Macaca fascicularis: one gene and its partners. The protein of the gene in region 3 interacts with the protein of the main gene of each other region in a pairwise test. Links are inferred from orthologs where the notes say so. Each region holds a gene or a part of one and is shown on either strand. Other genes may lie near its edges.

Region 1 (3,934 bases), on a different chromosome or scaffold from region 3:
AGAGGATACTGGTGGCCCAGACCCTCGGTTCTGGTGGAGGAGGGTGTTGGGGTCCTGGTTCCTGGGTTCTGGGGGCTGGGGACGGGTGGGCCAAGGTCCTGACCTCCTGTGCCTCCTGATGCCTCCGGGTTGAACTCTCGCATTGGTCCATGCGCTCCTGGTGCAAGAACCGGCAGCCTTCAGGCACCAGCAGGGCCTCACTCACAAATTCACCAGCTGGGGAAGCACGGGACACCAGGGTGAGACCCTCCTACAGCACCAACCCCACCCTCCTCAGAATCCAGATATTTTATCCTCAGAGGCTTCTCTGACCCACTTAGGACACAAGCACCCACCCCCTTAATGTGGGCCCGAGAGAGGGGCTCAGAATTTTGCCCCTCGGAAACTCCCACCTCAGTTCCCCTCTCCCCGCCTGGGACTCACGCAGGCAGCGGAAGGGCACAACCTGGTGGTGGGGGTGGGTGCAGCTGCCGCTCCGGGCACCCCCGCACCAGCGCTCCATGGGGATGGCCTGGGTAGCCTGCTCTACACGTGCGATCTGCAGCTCCGGGTACATCTGGGGGGGTTAAATGGGGGCAATCAGCCCACAGCCCCGCCTCTGCCAGCCACCCCTTTCCAGTAGTCAGGTCCCCTTTCTTCCCTCCCTCCCTCCCTCCTTTCTCTCTCTCTCTCTCTGTCTTTCTCTCTTTCTCTCTTTCGGAGATTTGCTCTTGTCGCCCAGGCTGGAGTGCAATGGTACAATCTCGGCTCACTGCAACTTCCTCCTCCCAGGTTCAAGCTATTCTCCTGTCTCAGCCTCCCGAGTAGTTGGGATTACAGGCACGCACCACCATGCCCGGCTAATTTTTGTATTTTTAGTAAAGACAGGGTTTCGCCATGTTGGCCAGGCTGGTCTCGAACTTCTGACCTCAGGTGATCCGTCCGCCTCCGCCTCCCCAAGTGCTGCGATGACAGGCGTGAGCCACTGCGCCCGGCCAGGTCCGTTTTCAAGGCTATCTTTTTTCCTGTGCTGTTTCTTTCTGAAGGTCCCTCTAAGCCCACCTCTCTGGTCACCCCTCCCCGCAGTCAGATTCGTCTCCCCAAAGGTCTCACCCTCCTTTTAGCCCTGCCTTTTCCTCTATTTCGCCTCTCCAAAGCTCTCCCTTCCCATTACAGACTTGTCTTTTCGTGGCCACGCCCCCCAGCTCTCCGCGCTTTCATTGGGCTCCACCCCTTTCCCCATCTCGCTGGTCCTTAAGGTCTCTTTCTGTCTTAGCCCCGCCTATCCTTTCGCCACTCCCCACTACACCTCTGCTTTTTACAAAGACCACCAGATTCCTAAATTCCACTTCTTCTCTGGCTATCTCGCGGTTCTCCCCCTTTCCTGACTTAGTATTTCAAAACAGGTCCCCTGCCCTAGCATAGTTGCACCTCTTTATTGGCCACGTCTGCTAGCTTCCACGTCTTAGATCCCGCGGCACCTTGGACCACGCCTTTTTCAAGTGTAGCTTTCTACGGGCGGCCCCGCCTCGTTTGGGGCCCGCTTTCCCGCTGGCCCCGCCCCTCCCGCTCGGCCCCGCCCACCTGTCTGCAGTACTCCAGCACGCGCTGCGGGTCCCGGAGACAGCGTCGAGAGCGCTGTGGGTCTGGTTCCCAGCGGCCGGTGCGCAGGTCCCGGTGAAGGGTTAGGCGCCCGCATAGTCCAGCCACCTGGGCCGACCCCTGGGCCTGGATGGAAGTGGAGGGGATAATGAGGGCCCGGGGGGCGTTGGCATGAGGGTCCCCTGGTTCTTTGCTCCCTAGGACCGAGACCCCCAGCACCAGCCCCCTCCCCCAAGCACCGTTGTGCACACCGCCTCCATGGAGGCACCGTTCCCTGGGAAACAGCTCCCGTAGGGCGGGGGCGCCCTAGCTCTCCCGTTGCTATGGCGACCCGGGTCCCCCGGGATTCTTTCTGCCTTGTTGCCGCGGAGACAGACTCCGCCCCGACCCCAGCTCAGCCGCTCTGGAGCCCGAAGGGGTTAAACCTGAATCGCGGAGGAGGCCTGAACCCAGGCGTTCTGGCCCCTCCTCCCTCCATCCCTTGCTCAGGCTCCGGTTGCAGGGTGCAAAGCTGATAAGGCCTGGCTTCAGGGGCCTACAGTCCTGGACACCAGGTCCTTGAGGACTGGAGAGCTACATCTGGTTGGGGTGGGTGGTGACTGAAGGACCGGACTCCTGGGTCCTAGGAGGCTGCAAGGGCCTCCATATGGGTCCAGAGAATACAAGGGGTCTGGATTATTGGATCTAAGTGCCTCGCTGCTTGGTGGGTCCTATGTCCAGGAGGGAGGGGGTTGGGACCTAGTCACCTGGGTCTGGAGAGGGGGCTGGACTTCTGGGACCAGGGGCTCTGAATAGACCAGTTCCTATGCTCGGGGTGGGAGGGGGCTGGGACGTCGGAGGATGGGGGAGCTGGGGCCTGGAACCCTGGGTTCATAAATGCGGTTGGGGGCGCCTGGGGGCTGACCACCTGGCTGGAAAGACCGCGCTTTCTGTCCTGTACATGTCCGCGCTGGCGTCCAAAGACCCGGTCCCGCCCCTTCCCCCATCCCCCAGGACCCGGCCCGGCCTCACCTCGGCCGCGCCGGGGCTCCCACCGGCCAGGCTCCCGATGGCGGGCTGCGCGCGCAGAAGCAGCAGCAATAGTGGCAGCAGCAGCGGCAGCGGCGGCTGGCCCGGGCGGCGACTTAGACCGCGAGCAGCGGGGCTGGCTGGCCCCATGTCCCGGCCCTTGAGCCCTCACGTCCCCTGCACTCCCGCCCGGCCCGGCCCCAGCGGTGACAGGAGCTCCCAGCGCCACCGCCGCCACCTCCTCCTCCCGCCGCCCCCGGGCTGCGCCGGCGCCGCCAGCCACGCCCCGCGCCGGCCCCGCCTTCCTGGCTAGGACAATAGCGTGGCGGCTCCGCGCAGAGTGGAGCAGCTCGGGAACCCCGGGCGGGAGCCTGCGCCAGGCCCCCGCCCCTGGAGATTCCAGGCGTCCCGCCCCATGAAGGGCCCAGCCAGGAGTCCTGCTATGGGCTCAGCCCGTTGTGGATTTTGAGTCCTCCCGCAGGACTCTCACCCTCTTTAGACCCAGACACTCACAGTTTTGTCCTTCTCCAAGGATGCAAGCATCAGAGACCCCCGTCCCCTAGTAAATTCCTCTATTGAGGGCTCAGGAATACAGGCCTCCAAAATGTCCCGTCAAGATGGCAGCAGTTGAGACCCAGTCCCCTCCTCTTTCAGATCCAGAAGTCTGGGCACCTTCTCTCTCAGGACCAGAGACCAAGCCCCCAGCCCATTCTCCCTCAGAACCAGTTCAGTCTTCCTGCTCTGCTTCCCAAGGGTCCCAGGGGCCTGGATCTTTAACTCCTAGCTCAAGGATCCATGAACCAAAGCCCCCGGGACCTTTCTTTAAGGATCACCCAAGCAGGCACCAGCACCATGCCCACTGTGGATGCAGCGCCCCAGGATTAGGGTCTGGATCTCCACCCTTGCTGTAAGGACCAGGGGATTGCCATTTTCATGCCCATAGTCTCCTTCTCTGTCCCACTTCAGGGCTCACTCGTTTGTCTCCTCTAATGAGAGTGTAGAACTCTGTCTTTCCCAGGACCCCTGGGGCAGCCCTGTCACATGTGTGCAACTGTGTGGACATCTATGCGTGTGTCTGTGCATACATGCCAATGTGTGTGTCTTTTCTGTTTGCAACTCGTGTGTGTGTGTGTGTGTGTGTGCGTGTGTGTATGAAGATGTATATTAAAAGAGTCCATGACTGGGCACAGTGGCTCACGCCTGTAATACCAGCACTTTGGGAGGCCTAGGTAGGCGTATCACTTGAGGTCAGGAGTTTGAGACCAGCCTGGCCAACAGGATGAAATCCTGTCTCTACAAACAAATACAAAAATTAGCTGGGTGTGGTGGTGTGCACCTGTAGTCC
Region 2 (3,982 bases), on a different chromosome or scaffold from region 3:
AAGCAACTGGAAAAACCATTGGATATTCATAGTAGGGTTTCATAATCACTATTCCAACTGGTCATGAGCAGTTCAATGCATAAGCGCTCATTAAGAATGTCTTTACAGGCCAGGTGCAGTGGCTCATGCCTGTAATCCTAGCAGTTGGGAGGCCAAGGCAGGCGGATCGCTTGAGCCCAGGAGTTCGCGATCAGCCTGGGCAACATGGCAAGATCCTGTCCCTACAAAAATTACAAAAACTAGCTGGGCACGGTGGCATGTGCCTGTAGTCCCAGCTACTTGAGAGGCTGAAGTGGGAGGATCACCTGAGCCTGGGAGGCAGAGGCTGCAGTGAGCCGAGATGGCACCAAGGCACACGAGACTGAGTGACAGAGACCCTGTCTCAAAATAAATAAATAAATAAATAAATAAATAAATAAGTCTTCGCAGCCATATTAATAGGTAGGGGAAATGAAGTGCCCAGAATCAGTGTTTCTAGCTCATAGTGGAACAACAGATCCTTAATAGCCTGAAAAGTTTTGTACAGGCTTAAACATCTGTACAAAACTCCAAACCTTTCCTTTCATTGTTACTACTTTTGATTCTTTGATAGCTATATCTTGCGGATTTGTTTGTTTGTAATAGTGAGATACAAACTCAAGGGTTTAAAGGTTTAACCAGTTTGGCAAAACTACTAAGTCATAGATTGCGGACTGGAACTCTGGCCTATCTTGCACCAAGCTCCTCTTTGCTGGAAAAGGTCAAATTTTACTTTTGAAACAAACAAACAAACAAATATGTAAAATGTTGTCCCAATAAATTTAAGTTGCAAGTTTTATATGAATTTACTGCTAATTTTACAGCTGAAACACTTCAGTGTATAGTCAGTTACTTTTCTGTCAGGAACTCAATAGAACAGGCATTACAGCATATGTTCTTACATGCTGGTCTACTAACGTGCTAGACTAGTTGCATCATGATAACTAAGGTCCTTCCACTGGTCAGAGGTCAAGGTTTTCAAATCCCCTGATTATTAACATTATTAGGCAAGTTTAAACTACTTGTACACAATAAACATTCAATATTTGTTTAGTGAGGAAGGACACAAATCCTACTAGTTGTAAGAAGAGATTTAAAGTTTCTCCAAGCACACTCAGATTCAAGTGGGAAAACTTTTACGTTAAAACATTAACATTTACTTATGGTCATGTATTTCGCATTATGATATGCACTTCAAAGTTCATTCTCTAAAAACATTTAATTTTGTTTTCATTTGGATATGTGAAGCACACCTGTAAAAGTCAACAAAGATGAAAGTTGGAAGATTTCCTGGAATTCAAAAGTGCTACCTCCTTTTTGTAAAATCCATCATAATGTGTATTTATGCTAAACACCCAAATAACTAACAAAAGAGACCTTGTGAATGATCCTGGCAGCTAAAGAGCAATCTTACAGACGGATGATCAACAACTGCAGTTTTGACTGCAGCTGTTACTGGTGTGGATTAAAATTAAACAATGAGCAAAACAGCACAAGTAACAATATGGAGCATAAATAACAGCGTGGAAGTGTTTGGGTACCGACTGGCTCAGGGTACCTGGCACTGAAGATTCAAGAAGGTGAACAGAGAATGCTAAGGTTGATAAGAGGTGCCTATTCGCCTATTTTGTGGACAACCTTAAAACGGTTTAAAAACTAGGAGGGAAGTTTAAAAACGGGGGGTAAAAAACGACAACAAGAAAAACCTAGCCCTAGAAACGTTTCTCGGAATAAAGTTAGATGTCTTCAGGACACCCTGTTAACAGGGGTGCCAACCGGTTGGAAACTTGTAGGTTCCAGTATTCACTTTTTTCCCCAAAGTCTACAATGTGACTGAAAAGTACTGAGAATTCCAGCGAGAATAAGGCAGACGTGATCTGAAATTTATGATGCTGTCTACCAAAAACTTGGGCTCGAGGCCAGCACCTAAAAAAACAAAATCTAAAGATCAGGCCACAAAAGAAATCAGGACACCCTCAAGCACAGATTACCTTACGCTGCCTCCAGACAAACCTACCAGATTACTAGCCTCTTGTCACCAAAAAAGGGAAACAAGGGCTGAGAAAGAAGCCGGGCGCGAAGCCCTGGCCTTCGAAGGTTCGCTTTAAGAACAGAAAGGCACTGATTTCCTCAGTCCTCGCCCCTTGGGGCGAGCTGGGCAAGTCGGGGCAGCAGGCAGCTGTGTCGCCAGCACAAGGCGTGAATCGGGGAGGAGGGCGTGGCACCTTCTCTTCCCGTTCGCTCGAGCAGGCGCGACCCACGGGCATCGTCTCCCTAGAGAGCACTCAGACATCTATGACACGACGCCTTGCCTCACCTCTCCGCAGGGCCGGCGAGAAATGCCCGCGGGGGCTTGAAACCCAACGATCCCCTCTGCCTTGGGAGAGCAAGAGCCGCCAAGCCTGGCGACTATTCATGGCCTCAGAGTTTTCCGGCGGACGGGAGGCGGAAGACGGGGTAAATCTCGCACAGGCTTTCGGGCAAGGTAGTTCTGGCACCGCAGGAATGCTGGGAATTGTAGTTTTCGCTCTGTCACAAGACCACCTTCCAGCGCGGGCGCCACAGTGGTGCCACGAAACTGGGCCTCTTCGCAGGCCGACCCACAGTTCACGAGCAATGCTCAGCGCTGTCCCGCTACTCCCACCGCCCCTTCCCGACCTGTGAACGCCTTTACCGTCTTAGGAAGGCGGGATCTTGTCGGAGAACCTTCTGGCGCCTGTTTCCTGGCAGCGGCGCATAGTCCAACAGCTGGCTCCCCCAAGATTGCCAGCGGCCATTAAGCGCTTGGGTCGGGGGAGATGGAGTCGTATTTAGCCGCACAGCAGTCTGGGACCTGAAGTTCTCGGCCGCTGAGCATTCTGGGTGATTGCGTAGTGCGGAGGCCAAAGAAACCTTCTGGGAAGTGTAGTCCAGCAAGTCGCTCACTGACCGTGCAGCGTCACATCCTGCTGCTTCGCCGTCTGGTGCACGGGAGGACCAACTAATTTTAGTCGGTATATTCTTTCTTTAGGGAAGATGAATTCCTCCGTTTCTGCGAGAAATTCCTTAATTTTTCACCATTTATCCTTCCCAGACCTCACTCAAGACTTTGCAGCGCATAGTAAAATGCTGAAAGCATCAATGCACAGTAGTTGTATTAAAATGCACCAATACTCATGAGTATTCTCGGTAAATCCTAAAATGGCACACAGTTGTGCGGTTGCAGTGGCTTATTCTCGCAAGATTCTAAACAATTACGGCTAGGTTTCTATCTATATGTATTCAAAGCTTTGTGAGAGCTACGTAACGAACACCATTTCTAAGGCCCGAAGCACACTGAAAGAAGAACAAAACTTAATTTCCGCCCACAAGTGCTTTAACAGACAATTCATGAAGAGGAAATATAAATCGCTATTTAAAACATTAGGATGGCCAGGAGTGGTGGCTCACACCTGTAATCCCAGCACTTTTGAGAGGCCGAGGCGGGCGGATCACCTGAGGTCGGGAGTTTGAGACCAACCTGACCAACATGAAGAGACCCTGTCTATATTAAAAATACAGAATTAGCCAGGCGTGGTGGCACATACCTGTAATCCCAGCTACTCGGGAGGCTGAGGCAGGAGAATCGCTTGAACTCTGGAGGCGGAGGTTGCAGTGAGTCGAGATCACACCATTGCACTCCAGCCTGGGCGACAGAGCGAGATTCCATCTAAAAAAAAAAAAAAGGGAAAAAAGTTTAATCTCACCAGTTTCAAAAAACAAAAAGCAAAACCCTAGAGTATGTCGAGGTTTGGGGTCCCAACGATCCCAACAGGATGTAAGCATAGTACTCAACAGGTGGTTCTTCAGCCCACACCCCTCTGTGCCTCTCCCCCTTTCCTCATCTAATGATATTCAGTGTCTCTTGTTTTCATGTTTACCATCATATAGTCAATGTTTAGCTCCTAAGTGAGAACATGTGTGTTTGGTTTTCTGTTCTTGGTAT
Region 3 (3,142 bases):
GAGCTAGAAACTCATCCTACACTAGGAGAAACACCCCAACCCAGGGTGACAGGGTTCTTAAAGTGGAAATCAGCTTCTCCAATTTCAGTCTTTTGATCCTAGATCTGCTTATTGCAATTATACAAATAAGGCTCCTTCTTCCTCTGTCAGTTCAACAAAAAGTGGAAGATTAAGATTTTCATGGACTCCTAGAATTTTAAAGCCAAAGGGGAATGTAAGAGATTGTCTCTTTCAAACCCCTACATCCGTCCAGGAGTGAAGCAACCTGTCCAAGTCACACAGTAATTAGAATTGAGCTGGACTCCTCCACTGTCTCTTCCCTTACCAGCTGAACAATGCAGTGTCAATTTCCTTTTACTTGATGTAGTCAAATCATGCCCCGACTTTTCCAACCATTCTACTCCCCTTCAGGATTCTACTAGTCAAATTGTTAAACTTTACCTGGAAACAGTTGTGGAAATGACTGCCATTATATTAACAGGGTCAGATGAAAACACTTGTTTATCAACATTTTATATGCTTTATTGAAAGTTGACAAGTGCAACAGTTAAATACAGTGACACCTTACAACTGTGTAGAGAACATGCACAGAAACATATGCATATAACTACTATACAGGTGATATGCAGAAACCCCTACTGGGAAATCCATTTCATTAGCTAGAATTGAGCATTTTTCAAAGTATTCAACCAGCTCAATTGAAAGACTTCAGTGAACAGGGATTTACTTCAGGGTATTCAGCAGCTAGATTTCAGATTACACAAAGTGAGTAACTGTGCCAAATTCTTCAAATTTCTTTAGGTGTGGTTTTTGTCATGTAGCAGTTTTTATGTAGATCGATATATAAAAGTCCACACCTCCTCAGACGGCCAATGGAACATCTAAATTTCAATCTGTACAACCTAAGTAGTAGTTACAGTCCTCTATTGTACAAAATAGTTACACTACATACACAAATATACAATAAGCAAAACAACCTTCATGGTAAGATAGCCTAGGTCCCAGCTACCTGTCACCATTTTGTCACTCTCATAGTTTTGTGTCATCCACTGTTTGAGAAGAGGCACAGTACTATTGTTTTTTATGGATTTTGGTGACAGTCGTCAAATCTGTACAGTGAACTCTGCTCCCCCTCACTTTAGTCTTTTTACCCTCCTTTCAAGCTCCTCCTGGGGGGAGGAGAGAGGCGAGTCCAGTGAGGAGCTCCATCGCTTCACAACCCCATGTAGGACACTAAGCGCAAGCAGGAGAGAGAACCCTTGGACGTGAGGGGTAGGGAGCCGGAAGGGATGGAAAGGCACACAGCTCCTGAGCATGAATTAAACCATTTCTCAGATATCTGCCAAGCTGCATGAGGTCCCAGTACATCCATGCTAATTCTCGGATTAACCTTTAATTCACCCAACTAAGAAATTTCTCCAAGCCATAAGCATATGAGTGTTTAATACTGGAAAAGAGAGAATGGCATATGTCAGTCTCACGTCTCTTTCGCAGTGAGCAATGAAATGGGTGACTGTGGAGGCAGATTCTCCCTAGCACATCTTCTCCGTCTGTTCAGTTCACACGCAGCAGCCAGTTCTGCGGGGGCATAGGCAGCTATGCGGTTGGTCCTGAGCCCTGCGATGCTGGCTGGGCGGGGGGCTGTGTGGTGCCCTGTGGCTGGGTGGTGGCAGGTGGGGAGCCAGTCTGCAGCTGTGCCTGAAACTGGGCAAGCTGCTCAGGACTGGCCAGTGTCTTCAGCAGATTGTTCTCCTGCTCCAGCTGGGAATTTTTCTCTATTAGTTCTTTGATTTGCTCTTTGAGGACCTCCACTTCTTCTCTGACCGCATACATCAAATGGCTTTTCACTAGATCCTGCAAAGAAGAGAGAAAAGGTTTAACTCACTATTTGCTATTTTCTGGACTCTGAGTTTCTAAGACATTATTTTATATGGCTCTCGCTATTTACATATTCCGCCTTTAAAGTTCGTTCAATGACACTTGGGGAATCTGAATACAGCCATGACTGTACAATACTTGAGTTTAACGTATAAATGATCAAGCTTTGTAAAAGTCTGTGCTTCTCTACAGACGTTGGCCAGAAACGCCCAAGTCCGGCTTCCTATCTGAGACTGGGCCAGAGCCGGGCGCTGGGTCCCCGACTGAGACCAGCAGCGGGGATGTTCAGGCCACAGCGCGCCCACCGCGTCCCCGCCCCCAGGCCCCGCCCCACGCTCGCCCGGAGCCGCCTCCTTCAGCACCGGCTGCAGCCAGTTCCTACCGAACATGTTGCCGCATTTTCTTCCCTCCACCCCCCCCCCCCCCCCCGCTTTTCGTGATTAAGCTGACATCACAGAAACCTGGGTAGACGTCGCAGCCAATGGGAGCCCGAGTTATTTATAGCTCCGAATTAAAGGTTCAGAGTTTGCCTAGCAACAGTGGGCAGAGAATCCCGTGAGAAGAGCCACAGGCGCTGCTCCAATAACAAAGAACGGCCAAGGCGGAAATAAAAAATAGGAGAAATCCAGGCGCAGGCTAAGAAAACAAAACTTTTCTCCGATTCTTCTTCATTGTGCAGAAGCCCGCGCCACCGGGGACCCGTTTGTGCACCGTCTAGAAGGCCCTTACCCAGGATCCCGACTTCTGGGGCCCTCCCCACCTCCCGGCTCCCTAGTAAAATGTTAGGATTCCTAGTAAAGCCACATCGCTAAAGATGTGCTCACGACCAGCCGAAGGAGACACTGGGCCAGCGCTTGCTTCCCTAATAAATCCCCAGCAAAAAGGGTCACCGTGAGAAAATCCCCTTGTGTGAAACCAGTCCCGGGAAGGAGACTATTTACTACCCACAGGGCCCCTTTCTCCCTCCACGGCTGCCGTGTTAGGTGGCTCCACGCTGGCCGAATGGAGACAGCGCCGGCATTTCTATGCGCATCAAGAGCAATCGACATCATCTGAACTTAGGGATGCACTGGTTCCACGAAACATCTTATTTTTGTGCTGTGCCCACATTTACTATAAATGATTTTTCATCAGTACATACCATAGCTTGCTCGATTTTGTTGTCAATAGCTACCACACTTGCACCAGAGGAGCTGAAAAAGAGGAGGGAAAAAGGTCATCGATAAATGGTATCTTAAGCGTCCAAGATAAAAAGGATCTTGCA

Evidence for each region.
Region 1: the proteins of TSC22D1 (region 3) and APLP1 interact in a two-hybrid assay, tested with the Homo sapiens proteins (2 studies listed by BioGRID and IntAct). The link is inferred for Macaca fascicularis from reciprocal best matches to the Homo sapiens genes TSC22D1 and APLP1.
Region 2: the proteins of TSC22D1 (region 3) and CCDC90B interact in a two-hybrid assay, tested with the Homo sapiens proteins (2 studies listed by BioGRID and IntAct). The link is inferred for Macaca fascicularis from reciprocal best matches to the Homo sapiens genes TSC22D1 and CCDC90B.

Annotation. Positions count from the first base shown.
Region 1 is NC_088393.1:43,098,853-43,102,786, reverse strand, and holds the start of APLP1 (amyloid beta precursor like protein 1), read right to left. Parts: upstream 2,801-3,934; 5' UTR 2,740-2,800; coding exon 2,593-2,739; intron 1,708-2,592; coding exon 1,564-1,707; intron 557-1,563; coding exon 424-556; intron 217-423; coding exon 104-216; intron 1-103. UniProt on the Homo sapiens protein: May play a role in postsynaptic function. The C-terminal gamma-secretase processed fragment, ALID1, activates transcription activation through APBB1 (Fe65) binding. Couples to JIP signal transduction through C-terminal binding.
Region 2 is NC_088388.1:82,266,453-82,270,434, forward strand, and holds the start of CCDC90B (coiled-coil domain-containing protein 90B, mitochondrial), read right to left. Parts: upstream 2,801-3,982; 5' UTR 2,693-2,800; intron 2,527-2,692; 5' UTR 2,436-2,526; coding exon 2,336-2,435; intron 1-2,335.
Region 3 is NC_088391.1:23,687,825-23,690,966, forward strand, and holds the end of TSC22D1 (TSC22 domain family protein 1), read right to left. Parts: intron 3,072-3,142; coding exon 3,020-3,071; intron 1,855-3,019; coding exon 1,597-1,854; 3' UTR 501-1,596; downstream 1-500. UniProt on the Homo sapiens protein: Transcriptional repressor. Acts on the C-type natriuretic peptide (CNP) promoter. Acts to promote CASP3-mediated apoptosis.